Linked DNA regions of Arabidopsis thaliana. The protein of the gene in region 3 purifies or fractionates together with the protein of the main gene of each other region. This does not show direct contact. Each region holds a gene or a part of one and is shown on either strand. Other genes may lie near its edges.

Region 1 (7,499 bases), on a different chromosome or scaffold from region 3:
GAATTTAGTAATGAAACCCAATAATAGTTACTTTATGAAAACACGTTTTCGACAATAATTAAAATGGAAGACAATTAGTATTATATTTACTCTGATCATCTAAAACTGGACAATTTTTTTCCCAGTAGCTAGTAAGGTTATGTATTTTGTAGTTGTTACTAATTACTATATAAAAAGTTCATCGTGTAGGTATTTCTTTAAGCTTAGTTTATGTATTTTGTAGTTTTTATACGATGATTTGTTCAAGTTATTTTAGTATTTTCAGACAAAATTAAAAAAATAATATAGACAGGGAGAAACATAAGCATTCTTTAGAATTGTGAGGAAACACGTGGTTATACCTTAACACGAATTGTCAATCCTGGTCACAATAAAGAAAGGGTATTACAAAACATTATCTTTTGCGTGAAGTTAAACTAATCCTGGAATTGCAAAAGGAATCACGAATCTGATATTCGTGGATAAATGTAAATATTGTGCCCAGTGATTTTTGACCAAGTACAGTCAAGGGTATTCTTTAACATTTAGTTAAAATTTTGTTCTCAGAGACCAGCTGAAATCATTTGTTGGAATACGGAATACTAAGCAGACCACCACTGTCTAGAACAGATTAAATAATACCAAATGCGGTTTAGCACCATCGGTTTGGGATCTTCATTAGTGTCTGAATTCATTTGGCAACAGAAAGAACACATTTTTTGGTACATATATTGAAGGTACAAAGCGATTAAAAGAGCCTATAAGAAAACTCGAGGGTTTGTGAGTGTCATTGTTTGAATTCCAAGAGGTAGCGAGGATGATCACAATCACCACTCACTCATGACCCGCACCTATGAAATTCTCCCCCATTGCTGCAAATACTGTAAGATACAACAGAACTTGAGAAATTTGAGCGAGATAACACTGGAGATGGACATTTGGAATGTTCTGTCTGAGTTTTTTACGGATTGTTCACGAGTCTTGCGCAGAGTCATCATCGACGTTGGCTTTTTCATCACCAGGAAGACCAAATATCCGTAGGTTACGGTCCATCGAACCGACTGCAACGTACTGTGCATCTGAACCAAACTTCACACACGTAGCTTTACCTGCAAGTGTAAGGGCTTCGAAATTAGCAACATTATCGCTATGTGATCATTGAAGGAGTTAGGTAAGGGACTTTACCAGTGCCGGAGAGATCTGGGAGTGTCTTGATAAGGTTCCATTCAGCTTTCACACTTGCCGTCTGGTATACTCTGCAGCCAAAACACATAAATTGTGTTAACCCAACGTGCAGATTAATCAAGCTAGCTTGGTCTCTTTGGATATTTTCTTTAGCTGAGCTTTGGATGTTTTGATCACTATTTTCAAATGTGTACTCACTTGATATCTGATGCAGCAATACCGAGATAAGATCCGCTAGGATCAAACTCCACTGCACACAAAAAAAAAGTAGGTTTAATCAAAGCGAGCTTATAATACATAGAAAGTTCTCTATCAACAAAATGAGTAGAAACAGATACGATAGTTGTGTACCAGAGTTCGCATCTGCAGATAAAAATGATTTGAAGTTCCTTAACTTGCGCAGATCCCACAACCTAACACCATCCTCTGCAGCTGTCTGTCAATTCCAGGACAAAAAGAAAATCATTCATGTAAGCATAACTTAAGCTGTATTCTCTCTTCTCGTATTTTGTTCAAAGTACTCACCGCGAGGAAGTAACCATTTTCAGAGAAAGATATAGCTGTAACTTCCCCAGTGTGTCCATCAAACTTAGCCACATTTGCCTATTATCAACCAAAAAAATGAAAACTATAATGAAGAACACTGTACACAATTAATAATTTTAATAGGTCATATAGTTTGGAAGCCCATAGTTTTTACCTGACTTTTAACGTCCCAAATCTTAACAACAGATTGAGAAGTACCGGTTCCGAGAATGAGACCATCGGGATGAAAAGCAGCAGCCGTGTAATCTACATTCTTTGAATCATCTGATACCTGAATAAAAACAAGGAATATGACAAAGGCTTTCATGAGTAAAGGAGCTCGTACTCTAACCATACACCGAACCACGGATTTTAGCTGATATGAAAATGCTCATGAAGAAAGTATAATCCACACAATTGTTTCTTGTAAATATATATAATCATTTCTGTTATATAGCATACAGGCAAAGCTAGAAAGGAAAACAGGTATTAGTTGGTTCTTTAAGGAAAGTGTTTAGGGACCTGTGCAAGGCATGAGCCAGAGGACAGATCGTAGAAGCACCATGTACCATCAAGAGATGCCGAGACAAAGTATTTATTTGTGGGATGCACAGTTACAGCTCGCACCTGAATAAAGCATCATTAACTAAAGTTACACAAAAAGTATATGAATTAAAAGAACATGGAACGGACTGTAAGAGTTCCTCAAATTCATCCTTACCTCCGCAGAATGATCATTCAATGTATACCCACAAGCATAATTCCCATCCCCAGGATTCCGCCAGATACGGACTGTCTGCAGGTAAGTCACTAATTTAGTAATAAAAAGATAACTATCGAACAATTGGTGATGTACATCCTCTGTGAAATCGAACAGAGCATCCAACAAATTACAGAGACTTCTGGTGTGAGTGATCAAAATGTGTTTTATAACTCGCAGCAAACAAAGTTTTCAAAGATAGCATCATGACATCTACAGAAAAAGATTCAATGGCTACTAGTCATCTTTTCACAATACAAATAAACAAATGCATCTGCCGGCTACTACTTTTCAAAACGAAGGCAATACACAATGTGGGATTACAATTTCCTATAGAACTAATACCAAGCACTATTCATAAAATATGACATATGAAATTACCTTGTCAGCAGAAGCAGTCAAAACAAGATCAGAGTCGCCTACAAATTTTACGCTTGTAACCTACAAAAGAATCAACACATATCAAGCATGGAGCTACATGAAACAAATTCAAACAAAAATCTAAGGCAAAAAGTTAAAAACCTTCTTCGAGTGACCAGTCAGTGTTGACAAGATTTGTCCAGAAGGGCGATCAAAGAGAACAGCAGTTGCATCAACTCCTCCAGTAGCAATGACATCCTGGTCACCGAATTAAGAAGAAATATAGTTCTGATGTAAATTTTTGCACACCAAAACTTAGCATAATATAAGATCAAAGAAATGCAAAGAATCCCTGGTCGTGGTCGTAATACAAACTATCACACACAGCATATAGGTATGTAATAGGCAAATAAAAATATTATGCAAAAAAGACATAACAATGATATGATCATTCCCCAACCAAGGACTCAAGGCTATATTCAAATAATTTATACATAGAAGATTAGAAGTTTGCCAGTCGGTTATCACATGCTATGAAGAGGCTTTCAGAAACAGAGGAAAATAAGAATAAGGGGATGTGATTAAAAAACCATCAGATGAGGGACCTTAGAATGTAGAATGTCCATCGAACAAATGCCTGGTTTGTTGGTCTTGTGAAGTGGGTGGCTTGATAGCTGAGTGAACCTCTCCAAAGTATCTATTGACGCCAATGTTTGAGGAATCTACAGAAAAATATTAAAATTATCAAGACAGCAGGAACCAATACAAAAAAAATCACAAGACTAGGCAGGAGGGCAACATTTTTTTAGTTAAGTTTCAAACCGAATACTAGGATCTAAATAGATATAGTGAGTATAAATCACATGCCTCTACAAACAAGAAAAAATACATAAACGTAGCAAGTCGTCAGGTCTTGCCTTCTAACATTCAAATGCATATTCAAAGATAGATACGAGTCTATGTGCAGTACCTGTCGCTTTTTTCGCTTCTGGGAAAGAGCAGCATTACAATCAGTCAATTCCGTAATAATTTCAGCTGAAATTCCAGGACACAATTTCTTTGCATCAGGACCCAGTTCCTCGTCAACGGCAGCTATTATACAACAAAAGAGTATAGTGACATGTTACAAGAGGAAAAAATAACTAGCCAATATATTTTGAGTAAAAAGTGTACAATCATACCTCGTTTACCATTACTCAGAGCAGCATTAGCTGTCACAGCTTCAGGGGCCGCAGGTATATGTCTCTCAACCTCGGCCAGTAATTGGCGTGCTTCGTCTCTTTCTTTTTTAAGTCTAGCAATCACACGACAAGCAGAATCATGCTGCAAACAGAAGGTAAAACAGTCCCATCAGTAGACTAAACACACTAAAAGATGAAATGAGTGAGGAAAATAAATCTAGGGTGCATAAAACAAATTTATTGACCATGGCACCTCATAAACTGGTGACAGAAACACACAGCCAAAATTACCTGATACAAGGCATGACTTAGCTCTTGCCTTGCAGTATGTAGTTGTTGCTCCAGTGCAAAATTTGATAGCATCAAACCGTCCCATTCCTAAAAAATGCAAAGCAGCTAAACTTCTCACGCAATTACTTCGAATAATTCATCCCAAAAAAATGAACAATTTATGTTGATTAGCACTCAGAAAAGGAGCAGGTGATCCGCGTAATAATGTTACTAAAGAGAAGAGGCCAATGTGTTCAGTTAAACGAATCTTGTATACATTTAAGAAACAACCTTGGAAAATTTATTTTAAGTCAATCAACCAAACTCTACATGACCAATAACATAAAACATTGTGACATTTCTTAGTGAACTTCCCATTAAGAAAACAAGCATAAATCCAAGAGAAAAGGTAGGAACAAATTTGCAAAAGAACAATTAAAGCTTACATTCTGGAACGTTCCGAGCAATCCAGGGATACTAGCTGTATGCAATGTTTTCGGCTTTATGATCTACACAATTGACAATTACATTAAAAAATCTCAAACAAATATCGTCAACAGTACTTTGCATCAAATAGTTAAAGAGATTACACTACCTCCCCAGTTTTGATGGGAACAATGTCATCAATGGTAAGTGGTTCGCCAGTAACCGGGCACTTCCCATAATCCTACAGAGGAAAATAATTTAGAAGAAATCATTCATTTCCAAGTGGCGTGATAATCTAAAAGAGCTCTCACTGGAGATCGGATCTCATTGGTGCCCAAAAGAATTTCTCGATAATTTCACAGTGCTACAAGAATCATCCGAAGTAAACCAAACAACATCACTCAAATTACGAGAAATCCTTCCAGTGAGAACAAAAAAAACAAGACGGTAAAAGTACTTGGCAGTGCTTAATTCAGCTCAAAGCTTACCGATATATGTCTTTCGATTAGTCGTCTCTCGAAGAGTAATCCTGACTTCGTCGAAACCACTGGCTCCACGGGAACTTCTCCTGAAACTGAAAGAACACAGTGCCGCCACCAACATCAACCATAAGAAAACCCTAAATCGGCATATTGAGAAAAAATAGAGAGAGACGACTGAAAGCTTTACTTGCACAGTTCATCGTAGGAAGAACGAGTGATACGACGAAGTACGAGAACTCAGGTCGATGTAGAACTTCCTGTGAGTGGGGCGGAGCAAGGGTTTTATCTTCTCCGGTCCGGCGCTACAAAGCAAAAACGCGGAAGCCGGGAAATGGTTGAAGAGAGAGACGACGATTAACACTCTCACTTGATATATTAGGGATTCAATTTAATTGGGCCTTTAACGATCACCTTCTTATATTTGGGCTTTTAAATCGATCCAACCATTAGAATTTGAAATTGACGACGTTTTATATTAGTTTTAAAATCTGTTTTAACTCATGTTGAACTAAAATTGGGCATTCAGTAATTTTGGTTGATTCATGTACATTTACTCATTAGATTATAAAACAAACCCATTGTTTTGTTACAGATTTTTTTTTGTTATATGTTGTTGCGACTATGTTTTAATCTAAAGAACGAGCACAAATATCGAATGAGACCGAGGTAGGTTTGTTCTTTGCATCTTAATCGCCTATCTTATACCCATTACCCACCAACACTCCATACTCACCAACAATCAAATAACAATTAACAACATATCCTCGATCACAACAAACAAAATCAACCGTTCAAGAGATCCTAAAAATATGTTCTAAGATGAAAGAATAAGGGATATATGTTTGTACATTTCATTGACAATTAGAGATATGGTTTATCTGTTGGTATATCGTTATGGATTCACGTTGCAAATGCGACCTCCACGGGTTCGATATACAAATTATATACCTAAGGTCAAAATCAATGGTATTTTATTTTTAATGTCTAAAGATAGGACGATGAGGGTACCATCCTAAGCACAATAGCTGTGTCCTTTCTATTTGCATAAAAGTTATATTCTTAGGATCCAAAGATGAAAGCGAACTCTCATACAAATACAATGCTCCAAGAAAAAAAGAAAAAAGAAAAAAAAAACAATGCTCCAAGAAAAAGATATTTATGAAGAAAAAATTATTTTTCATATTAAACCTAGATTGAAGAACGAGCTAATGACGCATATGTATAGTTCATATACGCATGACATTTTGTTTTGTTTTCAACCCTAAATAATACGTACGTATAACGTTTGAGATTATGTAATTAATATTGGTGAATCGTAATTATATATAGATAATTAATGGTTGATTATATATTACAGATGCACATGCATATATAAATTTTCTTCATTTTAGGTATTGGTTTTATATCTTGAAATTAAAGTGGTGGTCGTTTTCTATTTGGATAATGCGTGATGCATATATTGCATTTCAGACTTTATATGAAGATGGTCATATCTTCAAAAGTATCAATTCATCAAATCAGCTTTGATCTTAAGCTGTTTTACTTTTATTTTAATTTCCTTTCGTTAAATTTTAATCTGTAAACAATTTATTGCAATTCTCGTAATCCCAAATTCTGAACTTCTACACCCAGATAATCCTTATAATATGTGTCTTAATCGCTATTATGCACGTGTGTAGTGTAGTTTAAGCTCATACACAATTTTGTGTTCAAAAAAAAAACCTCATATAAAATTTAGTTTGTGCAGACGACTTGAAAGTGAAGTAATAATATTTTTGGACATAGAATAACTAGATAGACTCTTGACAATGATTTTCAAATGGTAGATAGACTTTTGTGACCAAAATAAGATACTGAAAGGCGATGTTGATGTCTCATGATTAGAACAAATAAAAAGAAGAGAACTATATTTTCCATGTAATGAAATAAGTGAAATACAAAAAACACTTAAGATCTACTATAGTAACCAAAAACGCTTTCAAAACCATTAAAATAATATTTTATTTTTATCGGCAACACAAGTACAAATGTAAATCGTGGGCTTAAACAAAAAGTGAATCCGTGTTTACCTATTTGAAGACTATAAATGTGAAATAAACACTCGTAAGTTATAGTTTGATGGATAACACGTACGACTCGTACTTTTGTTTGTGTCTTACGTACCGATAATGAGATCTCGAGCATGTAGCCTGTAGTCTCTACACACATATCTTCTCATATTAATTTTTTTCTGTTATGGACCTTATGGTTATTAGAATAACAAAAGTGTACGAAAGTGAAATATTCTCAATTTTGAATAACAATGCATTGACCCTATGCTCAAACTGTCAC
Region 2 (7,141 bases), 5.1 Mb from region 3:
CTTTTTTAATTCGTTGGCTCTTAGGCCCAAATTAATTCTCTCATTAATTTACGGTTCGGTTTTAATCGGTTCTAATTTGTCAATCCGGATAAAAAGTCAATAACATCTAACATAGACCAAACCATTATCCCAAAGAAAAAAAAAACATAGACCAAACCAAGTCAACATGAATTGAAATTTAAGAACCTCGGTCCTCCCAACTCAACCGAAACACAATCAAACCGGCCAAACATTGTTTTTTTTACGGCAACAAAGATATATCAAAACACAAATTGCAACACTAAAAATCATGTGTTTTATTGGTGCCTTATATAACAAATGAAACCTTACCCGAAAGGTTTAGCATATATGACATCCAGACAAGAGAAAACGTAATTCATCATTTTCGTTATCTAACATACAAGAATCAAAACAAGATTTCACATTAACAAAGATAAAGTGTACATAGTTGAGGAAAATAAAGGTAAAGATAAAGTGTAGACAATATTCAAAAGGGTGGTTGTCCAACAATGTTACCAGGAGGATCATAGTTACAAATAATAAATGTGTCACCGGTCTTGCAAAAACTGATTGCACACCCAATCCTCGAACTCTTCTTCCATACAAGTTGCGTGTAATGCAAACAATCCCCATTCGCCTTGCAGTGGGAAGTCCTCCGGTCATAGTATTTCATCTCCGAGGCCCATGCAGCCACCGCATCCCGTGGAGTCCAACCTTTTCCGCTTCCCCAGAAGAGATTCTCCCCGTAAGGTCCCCCGGAGTGGATAAGTTTGCAATCTCCACGGCGGGTTCTGGCCCACCGGCTCGCATAGAGGGCGAGGCTATTGCTCCATTTGAGAGGAGGGAGACGAAGCTTGGCTCGTAAGATGTTGTGTGGTCGGAGAAACTGCTGCTGAATGGTGTTGCGGGCTAGAGCTTTGTCTTGAGAAAAAATTAGTGTTGATGTTGTCGGTGTTCTGTTTGATGGGATTTGAAAAGAGAGAGAAGGAAGTGGAGTGCTGATAACTATGATAATGATGATGAATATCAGAGTTTTTTGTTCCATTGGGATGCTAAGTTAGATTTGTTTCTGAGCCTCTAGATCTAGCTAGTACGATCCTTACCATATATATATACACACACACACATAATTGTTTATGCTTTCATATTTGTACGTATATATCATCTAACGAATCTAAACACATGCTATGTTAATAATGCGCAATGACAAGTGCTAATCATTTCGGTGGAACATTGATTATTTGTAGGGAATGATTTTATTCAAACAAAGCATACATTATTGAGCTAATTAATAGATCATTATATATGAAGGAAGTTTTAATAGGATGTTTTCTTTTTTTCTTGTAAGAAGAGACTTTATCATAGCAACGAGAATATATCCCAAGCATAAAACATTATATACAAACTCATTCAAATGAAAACCTAAGTTAGATATTTAATTTGACCACTCTTAAAATACTTGTTTAGTTATAACATGTTTACTATGCAGATTTATGAGGCGTATCAGATGGTGTGCTAGAGAACGTGATACAAATTTGGATGCCTTGTTTTCAAGAAATCTTATACATTCCTTGGAGATCAATTTGTATTGTGAGGCTTATAGTCATTGAGCTTACCGTTGATTAACTAAATTTATATTATATAGAACATCAAATAGACGAAAAAAATCAATTTAGTTGACCACCGTTTGTTAGCTAGGTTATAAACTCTGACCCAAAGTGTCCTATGCTTTCAGTATTCAGTTTATTTTATAACGTGTGGGGTCGTTTTGGAAACAATTAAAACAATAGGGGCTATATTTTTCTCAAGTTCTGTTGGACTGGGCTTGTCGTTAATCAATATTTGGGCTTTTGAGGTTGACTCGCTTTTTTCCGTTCTTCGTTTTCCAAAATCAAACCCAAAAGGATTTGGAGGAGTTAATTCACCTGACGAATCCACCACCATAATATTAAGCACATTTGATCTCTCACTTCCTTGGTGCGAGTGTTTTGTTTTCCGAGATCCAAAATCTTCTCTTGGATCCAAAGCTGTGTTACTGTGGATCTCCTCCTCCTCTCTCCCTGGATCTCGTACCTTTGAGGTTTGTCTCTCTGTGTTAAACTTGCGACTCAGATTTCATAGAGATCGATCCCACTTTTGCCTTTTCCTTTGTGAAAATCTACAATGTTCAATTATTCTCTGGCGCTCTTTGTTTGATCTCGTTGAATATTGATCTGATTCCGGTAGGAAACCGATTTTCATGTTTGTGCAGCTGAGTGAGACTGCGAATTATGTAGATTTCATTGTTTGTTCATCTAATCTGGGGAGATAGATCGCATTTTTTTTTTTTTTGAATTTTGGTTGATCCGAAGCTGTTTTAACTGATTTTTCGTTTTTATGTTATTATTTTGGTCGTAGTTGTAGTACAGTGATGTGTATTGCTGGATCTGAGGATTTAGATTTGTCAATGTTTTGCATCTTTGGGTCTCTGATTGGACATTACCGAATATTCTTCTGAAATTATGATGTTTTCTCATAAACCACGGATTCGAGAATAGAGATCATGTATTCAATGTATTGAAATCCAAGCAGAGAGGTATGGATTATCGCCGATGATACTGTTGAACTTCTTGTATAGAACTTACTCTAGCACTGATGAGGACACTAGTAAGGTGCTTATATTCAGTAATTCGAACTTGAAATCGCCAGAAATATTAAAAGTTTTGATATCTTGTTTTTACTTGTGATCTATACTTCATTATGTCTTTAATCAATTGTAACAATTTTGCTCTATTCATCTTCTATTTCTTATATTAACAAAGGAACACTTGTTCGTGAATGGTTTTTCCTTTTCATTTGAGCTCACAGATTTTTTTCTCTTTCACTTTTTGTGCAGCACCGGAGAAGATGGACAAATCTAGTACCATGCTTGTTCACTATGACAAAGGGACTCCAGCAGTTGCTAATGAGATTAAAGAAGCTCTCGAAGGAAATGATGTTGAAGCTAAAGTTGATGCCATGAAGAAGGCAATTATGCTTTTGCTGAATGGTGAAACCATTCCTCAGCTTTTCATAACCATTATAAGATATGTGCTACCTTCTGAGGACCACACAATCCAAAAGCTTCTGTTGCTGTACCTGGAGCTGATTGAAAAGACTGATTCTAAGGGGAAGGTGTTACCTGAAATGATTTTGATATGCCAGAATCTTCGTAATAACCTTCAGCATCCTAATGAGTACATCCGTGGAGTGACACTGAGGTTTCTCTGCCGGATGAAGGAGACTGAAATTGTGGAGCCTTTAACTCCATCAGTGTTACAAAATCTGGAGCATCGCCATCCATTTGTTCGCAGGAATGCCATTCTGGCCATCATGTCGATATATAAGCTTCCACAAGGCGACCAACTCTTTGTGGATGCGCCTGAAATGATCGAGAAAGTTCTATCAACCGAACAAGATCCTTCTGCCAAGAGAAATGCATTTCTAATGCTCTTTACCTGTGCTGAAGAACGTGCAGTGAATTATCTTCTGAGCAATGTTGACAAGGTTTCAGACTGGAATGAATCACTTCAGATGGTGGTGCTGGAGTTGATTCGAAGTGTGTGTAAGACTAAACCAGCAGAGAAGGGGAAATATATTAAGATTATTATTTCTCTGTTAAGTGCTACTTCTTCTGCAGTTATCTATGAATGTGCTGGGACACTTGTTTCTCTCTCATCTGCCCCTACTGCGATTCGGGCTGCTGCCAACACCTACTGCCAACTTCTTCTTTCTCAGAGTGACAACAATGTGAAGCTTATTTTACTCGATCGGTTGTATGAGCTTAAGACATTGCACAGAGATATCATGGTTGAGTTGATAATAGATGTGCTCAGAGCACTCTCAAGCCCAAACCTTGATATCCGCAGGAAGACGCTTGACATTTCCCTTGACTTGATTACCCATCATAATATCAATGAGGTCGTTCAAATGTTGAAGAAAGAAGTTGTGAAGACACAGAGTGGAGAACTTGAGAAGAATGGGGAGTACAGACAAATGCTTATTCAAGCCATCCACGCTTGTGCAGTGAAGTTCCCCGAAGTTGCAAGCACAGTGGTCCACCTTCTGATGGACTTCTTGGGAGATAGCAATGTGGCTTCAGCTCTTGACGTGGTTGTTTTTGTTAGAGAGATAATAGAAACAAATCCCAAGTTAAGAGTTTCAATCATCACAAGGTTATTGGACACGTTCTATCAGATCCGAGCAGGAAAGGTCTGCCCTTGTGCCCTTTGGATAATTGGGGAGTATTGCCTATCACTTTCGGAAGTTGAGAGTGGCATTTCAACTATCACGCAATGCCTTGGCGAATTACCATTTTACTCTGTTTCTGAGGAGTCTGAGCCAACTGAGACATCAAAGAAGATTCAGCCTACCTCTTCTGCCATGGTGTCCTCTAGAAAGCCAGTGATTCTTGCTGATGGAACTTATGCTACCCAAAGCGCAGCCTCTGAAACCACATTCTCCTCACCTACAGTTGTTCAAGGATCACTGACTTCTGGAAATTTGAGAGCACTGCTACTAACTGGTGATTTTTTCCTCGGAGCAGTGGTTGCTTGCACGTTGACCAAACTTGTTCTTAGGTTAGAAGAGGTTCAGTCTTCTAAAACTGAAGTAAATAAGACAGTCACACAGGCTTTGTTGATCATGGTTTCTATGTTGCAACTTGGGCAATCTCCTGTTTCTCCACACCCTATTGATAATGATTCGTATGAGAGGATTGTGTTGTGCATAAAATTGCTTTGCCATAGGAATGATGAGATGAAAAAGATATGGTTAGAATCCTGCCGCCAGAGTTTTGTCAAGATGATTTCTGAAAAACAGCTTAGAGAGATGGAGGAACTGAAGGCGAAGACCCAAACAACGCATGCTCAACCTGATGATCTAATTGACTTCTTCCATCTAAAGAGTCGGAAGGTATTATTACTTCCTAAGCTTCCCTTTGCTTTATTGGGTTTTTTTTTCCATATGAGTTTTCCTTTTCAATCTGTTCAGTTCTGTTACGTTGGTGTCTACTTTTTCTTACAGTTCATATCCAATTTTTTTTTTCGCATTCTCAAAGAAAGTTCGAAAGTTGATAGTGGCATGTTATGTTTATTTATTTCGGTCAGTAGTTGAAATTACTGACGATAAGTTTCTTTCAGGGAATGAGTCAACTTGAGTTGGAAGACCAAGTACAAGATGACCTAAAGCGTGCAACTGGAGAATTCACCAAGGACGAGAACGATGCTAACAAACTTAACCGCATTCTTCAACTCACAGGATTCAGTGACCCAGTCTATGCTGAAGCATATGTGACGGTACACCATTATGATATTGCTCTTGAAGTTACAGTAATCAACCGAACCAAGGAAACCCTTCAGAACTTGTGCTTGGAGTTAGCAACCATGGGTGATCTCAAACTTGTTGAGCGTCCTCAGAACTACAGTCTGGCACCTGAAAGAAGCATGCAGATTAAAGCAAACATCAAGGTGTCGTCCACAGAGACGGGAGTCATATTCGGGAACATCGTCTATGAGACATCAAATGTAATGGAGCGAAACGTCGTTGTTCTTAATGACATACACATTGATATCATGGACTATATCTCCCCTGCTGTGTGTTCAGAGGTTGCTTTCAGAACTATGTGGGCAGAGTTCGAATGGGAAAACAAGGTAATTTATTGAAACCTTTTATAGTTGTACCTTCTTTTCGTATGTTTGTTGGAGTTTGGTATAACCAATTCCTGTTGTATTCTTTATGTCAGGTTGCTGTGAACACCACAATACAAAACGAAAGAGAATTCCTCGACCACATTATCAAATCTACAAACATGAAATGTCTCACTGCTCCGTAAGTGTAAATTCTTCTTTCATCCTGTAGAAACGAAAAACTCTTCTTACTAATTAATACTTCTTTACTTGCAGATCCGCAATAGAAGGCGAATGTGGATTCCTTGCAGCAAACTTATACGCAAAAAGTGTATTTGGTGAGGATGCTCTTGTGAATGTGAGTATTGAGAAGCAAACGGATGGAGCATTGAGTGGTTACATAAGGATAAGGAGCAAGACGCAAGGGATTGCCCTAAGTCTTGGGGACAAAATCACCCTCAAACAAAAGGGTAGTAGCTGAGGTTAGCTAATCTTTTCAAAACATATTCTATTTCTCGATTAATACATGTTTTAATCCTTAAACCGCAATTGGTCTAAATTTCAGTACCATACCGATGATTTCTCACAGTGGCGTGCAAAGGTAACAGGTTTAGACTACGTACGTTTCTCTTGAGCAATTATCGTTGGTTGAATCTGCTTATTATATGGAGGGAGGAGGCGTTCAAGGGTATATGTAAAAAGAGTAATTGGCTATCGTTCTTACTTAACCGGTATATTTTCTGGTATGGTACCGATGGATTTCTTCATCTCATATGGCAGTGTGTTTTTTACTGTACTAGACGATTTTGTTTTATTTGTAATGCTTTTTCTTCTATAATGTCGTTTGTTGAGGACTTTAAACCGTGAACTTTATGATATTGTAGATTTCAAAGCTACATTTGGTTTGCTCCATTTTAGAACTCGTCATTTCAGATTTGATCTCTATTCTTTTCTTTCATATGCATTTGAAGTGAACTATTCAATTGTCAAAGCTAGACTTTAATTTGCTAGTAGCTATATAATACGGGTTATGTTAGCAAGTAAGTTGTAATGAAACGCATGTATTAATATGGACCATATTCAAAATCTACAAGCCAAAGAAACCAATTGCTTCACAACCAAACCCATAACATTTGATTCTTACAGCCTTTTCTATTCTCAAGAAAACCAAGCAATAATTTTTAAGCAAAATTTAATAATCTTAAATCACTTGCCTCAAGGTACCAAGGGACGATCACATACACATTCGCGTAACTAGATATCGCTAACATCATTAGACAAGAAAATACTAGACGCGAGTAGAAGAGGAAAGATCCAAATACATCATCTTCTATCATAAAATCATCCATCTCTAACCGAAAGTTGGAGCACGTTTCAAGGAAAAACTGACATAATTCCTAATTACGCTCACTTTTAAAAGTTTGGGGTCGTTTTGGAAACAATAAAAAAGTAGGGGCTATGCTTTCTCAACTTCTATTGGACTGGGCTTGTCAACA
Region 3 (4,910 bases):
GAAACCAACTCCCACCAAACATACAAGACCAAATGTTATCACACATTTGCTTAAAGTTTAAAACAGAGGGTCTGAAACAACAAGAAGCTTTAAATGGTTTGCCGAAAGCAATCCGGTCAAGCATTGCAAACTATCTCTTCTTCCCAATCGTTCAGAACGTCTACCTATTTCACGGAGTTTCTCGCAACTTCCTATTTCAGTTGGTAAAACACTCATTTGTTAACTCTTTCTTTGTCCATCTCTTTCTGTTATAATGTTCCATAAAGTTACCAACCAACTCGATATGCTTTTTCTGACCAAGGTTTCAGATATAGACGCCGAATATTTCCCACCAAGAGAAGATGTAATACTACAGAACGAAGCTCCTACTGACCTCTACATCCTAGTCTCAGGGGCAGTGGTGAGTGAATGAAATTTAAAATAAATAATTGTATAGGAATGTTGAAGTTACCTTCTAACATGTTTTACTCGCTCATGTGGTGATTGTGCAGGATTTTACTGTCTACGTTGGCGAAGAAGATCAGGTATGTGAACAATATATATCACCAAAAGAACTTCACTGTAGAACTCTTAGCTGAAAAAAGAGAAATGACTGTAATCCTCACATTCATGTAGGTTCAAGGCAAGGCGGTTGTTGGCGATGCATTTGGAGAGATTGGTGTGTTATGCTATACACCACAACCTTTCACAGTTAGGACAACAGAACTATCTCAGATACTACGGATAAGCAAAAAATCTCTAATGAGTGCTATGCGAGCTCATGTCGAAGATGGACGAGTCATAATGAACAACCTCTTCATGGTAAGTAAGAATGATATAACATCCTGGGAACTAATTTTATTTCAGAGATGTTTTCACAATGATGTTAATCAATACGAACTCATTTCATGATGATATATGTAGAAACTTAGAGGGCAACAATCAATAGCAATTGATGATCCAAATTCAGAACCAGAGTCACTTCTCAAGGAGTGGCTTGTTGGTGGTTCAAAGACAGGAGAAGGAAACGCTAGTGATCAAGGACATGGGCACAAATATTTACAACTGCATGATTCAGAAAATATTGATATGGGGTCAACTGAATGGAGAGATTCAAGAAGATCTGGTTATGGCGAAACGAAAAGAGTTCGAGAACATACGATAGAGATAGAAGAAGGAGAAAAACCAAATAAAGAGTTTGATGGAAAAGGTTGCTCTGATGCAGATCTTACCTCATTTGAATTTCATTCACAGGAAGCATATCCATATTGCAGATCAAACATCCAAATCAAACAACATGAAGCTGCAAAACCAAAAGATAAAAGAGTTACCATCCACTTGAAGTCCCGGGACAAAGATTTGTCGAAGCTGATAATCCTTCCTGCTTCCATAGAAGAGTTGCTAAGACTTGCAGGTAAGCTCTTTTACTTGTTAATTCTCTAAGAAACTACTGAACATAAGAAGGAAGTAAAGTAAACTAGAAAATTATGGTGCAGGTGAAAAATTTGGATACAGCTTCACAAAGGTCACGAATGCGGAAAACGCAGAAATAGATGATGAAGATGTGATTAGAGATGGTGATCATTTGTATATTCTCATCAATGAAAACTCTTAACAAGACTTTAGTAACCACTGTTTTCTTTCCATAGAGTGTATATGTATATCTGCAGGCAATGTAATGTTTTTTACTAGAAAAACATTTGATCATCAAAGAAGATCCTAGAGAACTTATAACTGGACAATGTTAATCCATCAGAATTCTGAATTTAACAGAGCATTTCCCGCGTAAACGTTTACATTCGAGTTTATATATATTGGGCCTTATTGGGCTTAGATGAGTTTAATTACTAATAAATGAGATTAGGCCTAGTTAATTATAAAATAAACATTTTTTCCCCTTAAAAAATTGTATCAAAGATTTTCTCATGCGAGGATTTGATTTTGAAGTCTGTCGTGAATTTTTCATTTCAATCGAATTTGATCGGAGATATGGGTGCTCAGAAGAAACCCGCGGCGGCTAAGGTTCGTGAGGATTCAGAGGATCTAAGTCGTCAACGATTACAAGCCATTCTTCTAGCCGACAGCTTCACCACTCAATTCCGTTCCATAACCCTAGAACGACCAAAGGTACTATTGCCGATAGTGAACATCCCGATGATTGATTACACTTTAGCATGGCTCGAATCAGCTGGGATCGAAGAGGTTTTTGTGTTCTGTTGTGCTCATTCGTCGCAGATCATCGATTACCTGAAGAAATCGGAATGGTACACACGCCCAAACCCAAACTTGTTGGTGAGAACGATAGTGTCTCACAATTCCACCAGTGTTGGAGATGCTCTGCGTTATATCTATGAACAACAGACAGAGACGTCGCAGATTCAAGGTGATTTTGTTCTTGTTAGTGGTGATACTGTTAGTAATATGCCACTTGCTGATTTGATTCAACAACATAGAGATAGGAAGAAGAAAGATGAGAAAGCTATCATGACTATGGTTTTTAAGAAGCAGTCTAGACTAGGAATAGGATCTGATCAACTCTTTGTTGCAGTAGATCCTTTAACGAAACAGCTTCTTCATTACGAGGAATGTAATTCGAGAGGCGGGGACTTTTGCTTAGATAAGTCCTTGTTGGATAGTACTGTTTTATGCAGTGATATGCAGGATTGTTACATTGACATTTGTTCTCCTGAGGTGCTTAGTCTCTTTGAGGATAACTTTGATTATCAGCATATGCGCCGTCATTTTGTTAATGGTTTGCTTGTTGATGATATTATGGGTTACAAGATTTTCACTCATGAGATTCAGTCGAGTTGTTATGCTGCAAGGATCGACAATTTACGGAGCTATGACACTGTTAGCAAGGATATAATCCAGAGGTGGACATACCCGTACGTACCTAATATCGATTTCAGCGGGAATCGCCCTGTAAAGCTCGGGAGACGGGGGATATACCGGGCTTCTGATGCAGTTCAATCACACACTGCAGATGTTGGAGCTTCCACTGTCATTGGATATGGCACCAAAATTGGTAATGGAGGTAAAATCTATAACTCTGTTATTGGGAACGGATGTTGTATTGGATCAAATGTGGTGATACAAGGCTCATACATATGGAACAATGTTACGATTGAAGATGGGTGTGAGATAAGGAACGCTATTGTCTGTGATGGTGTGAAAGTCAGAGCAGGAGCTGTTCTGCAGCCTGGTGTTGTTTTGTCTTTCAGTGTTGTAGTTGGGCGGGACTTTGTTGTACCTGCATATTCAAAGGTCTCTTTACTTCAACAGCCAACTACAGAAGACAGCGATGAAGAGCTGGAATATGCTGATAGTAGCAGCGGGACTGCAGATCATTCGTCAGGCCTAAATAATTTGCAAATTGAGTCCAAAGCATCTGAGCTTGGTCCTGATGGAGCAGGTTACATCTGGGAAATATGTGACAGCGCTCATGATGAGGAGTGGAAACATTCTGTTGTACCAATCCCCATGGATAAACTTGCCGATATCACTGGGGCCATGGACGATGATGACATAGAGGATGACATTGTTGTCCCACCTTCTGGAGAGTTGAAATCTGATACTGATATTATTAACACTGATGCAAATGATTCCTATGGCGACTTTGAGAGAGAGGTTGAAGAAGAATTCTTAAGTGCCGTTGAAAAGGATAACAAAGCGGACATTGTAATTCCTTTGATTAACTCACACCGGTTGGCGTACAACATGGACTCTGCAGATTGTGCTGGAGCAGTATTCTACTCTATGATGAGACTGGCAGTAAAGAGTCCACATAATTCTGCTACTGAATTGTACAGAAACGCGATGGGTGTCATAACTAAATGGAAGGGAGTTCTTGGGTTCTATTTAAAGCAAACTGATGCACAGATAGAAGTGATAATGAAATTCGAAGAGATGTGTCAGGAATCTGAAGAGTTGAGCCCTTTGTTTGCTAAACTTCTGCCTTTTCTGTATGACAAAGACGTGGTGCAAGAAGATGCGATCTTGAGATGGGGGGAAGAGAAAGCAGGAGCAGACGATTGTGACAAAGTTTATCTGAATAAATGTGAGTCATTCATAAAGTGGCTCAAGGAAGCATCTGAGGAGGAAGAAGAAGATAGTTAGATTGGTAAGCGTGACTTTCGATAGGTTGCAATGTGATTTCATTATACAGTCTATTTTGTAAAGTGATAATTTACATTTAAGATAGTAGTACTCTGTTATTTAACTGGCATCATCAACAATCTTTTGTTAGGTTTGTTGTTGAATGAGATATTTCCCATAAATCTATCCATCAAGGGTTTGTTGTATACTTGCATGTGCAAGAGATATGTTGACTAGGCTATTAAAAGAATTCATACGAAACGTTTTGTAGATAGAGTAAAGTTGATTTAAATGTGAGTCTCAAACGAAACTTAACTTGTGACGGTGTTATTCCAAATTTCCCAATTCAACCTTTACTTTTGTGTCCTTACGTCTTGAAAACATTATTACCGTCTTTGGTAACTTCATAACATGGACTTAGGGTACGCGGAAAAAGAAGAGAAAGTGTAACAAACTTAAAAATTGACGGCTATGATCAAGTTAAAAAGAAGCTTAGTTACTTAATATAGAATTACTTGGAAATATGGTGGCTGGAGAGTTCGTCACCATGGTGATATTGACTAATGAGATAGAAAACACGAAATCATAATCACATTTTGTTTTCTATTTTGTTGTTAATTTTAGTGGATTGTGTGTGTTAATGTATTTCTGACGAAAATATTCGTTTTAGTATACTAGCCTGACTTTTAACTTAAAGCTATGGTTCAGTTTTTCTATAAAACTTGTATTCTCTTCATTCGATCTTCCCACACCACACATTATTATATTTCTCAAACGAAATTTCTCTCTTCAAACAAGAAATACTAAAAGACTGCTCGATCTCTTCAAAATGT

What was found. Proteins that work in one complex are often made in the same cells at the same time.
Region 1: the proteins of AT4G18300 (region 3) and MAC3B fractionate together in Arabidopsis thaliana (co-fractionation; one large-scale study listed by BioGRID). This does not show direct contact.
Region 2: the proteins of AT4G18300 (region 3) and AT4G31480 fractionate together in Arabidopsis thaliana (co-fractionation; one large-scale study listed by BioGRID). This does not show direct contact.

The regions. Positions count from the first base shown.
Region 1 is NC_003071.7:14,125,633-14,133,131, forward strand, and holds MAC3B (MOS4-associated complex 3B), read right to left. Parts: upstream 5,593-7,499; 5' UTR 5,369-5,592; coding exon 5,356-5,368; intron 5,261-5,355; coding exon 5,175-5,260; intron 4,928-5,174; coding exon 4,856-4,927; intron 4,770-4,855; coding exon 4,707-4,769; intron 4,369-4,706; coding exon 4,282-4,368; intron 4,133-4,281; coding exon 3,991-4,132; intron 3,902-3,990; coding exon 3,780-3,901; intron 3,532-3,779; coding exon 3,415-3,531; intron 3,068-3,414; coding exon 2,972-3,067; intron 2,891-2,971; coding exon 2,831-2,890; intron 2,486-2,830; coding exon 2,411-2,485; intron 2,317-2,410; coding exon 2,212-2,316; intron 1,982-2,211; coding exon 1,865-1,981; intron 1,768-1,864; coding exon 1,690-1,767; intron 1,601-1,689; coding exon 1,516-1,600; intron 1,415-1,515; coding exon 1,363-1,414; intron 1,236-1,362; coding exon 1,165-1,235; coding exon of another isoform or gene 1,160-1,164; intron 1,089-1,159; coding exon 952-1,088; 3' UTR 509-951; downstream 1-508. UniProt on the Arabidopsis thaliana protein: Probable ubiquitin-protein ligase which is mainly involved pre-mRNA splicing and DNA repair. Component of the MAC complex that probably regulates defense responses through transcriptional control and thereby is essential for plant innate immunity.
Region 2 is NC_003075.7:15,261,259-15,268,399, forward strand, and holds AT4G31480 (Coatomer, beta subunit), read left to right. Parts: upstream 1-1,895; 5' UTR 1,896-2,817; coding exon 2,818-4,932; intron 4,933-5,159; coding exon 5,160-5,669; intron 5,670-5,761; coding exon 5,762-5,847; intron 5,848-5,921; coding exon 5,922-6,126; 3' UTR 6,127-6,127; intron 6,128-6,210; 3' UTR 6,211-6,633; downstream 6,634-7,141. Other genes in the region: AT4G31470 (CAP (Cysteine-rich secretory proteins, Antigen 5, and Pathogenesis-related 1 protein) superfamily protein), read right to left, coding at 488-1,045. UniProt on the Arabidopsis thaliana protein: The coatomer is a cytosolic protein complex that binds to dilysine motifs and reversibly associates with Golgi non-clathrin-coated vesicles, which further mediate biosynthetic protein transport from the ER, via the Golgi up to the trans Golgi network.
Region 3 is NC_003075.7:10,116,884-10,121,793, forward strand, and holds AT4G18300 (Trimeric LpxA-like enzyme), read left to right. Parts: upstream 1-1,900; 5' UTR 1,901-1,968; coding exon 1,969-4,098; 3' UTR 4,099-4,375; downstream 4,376-4,910. Other genes in the region: KAT2 (potassium channel KAT1-like protein), read left to right, coding at 1-203, 302-400, 492-524, 616-801, 904-1,393, 1,476-1,594.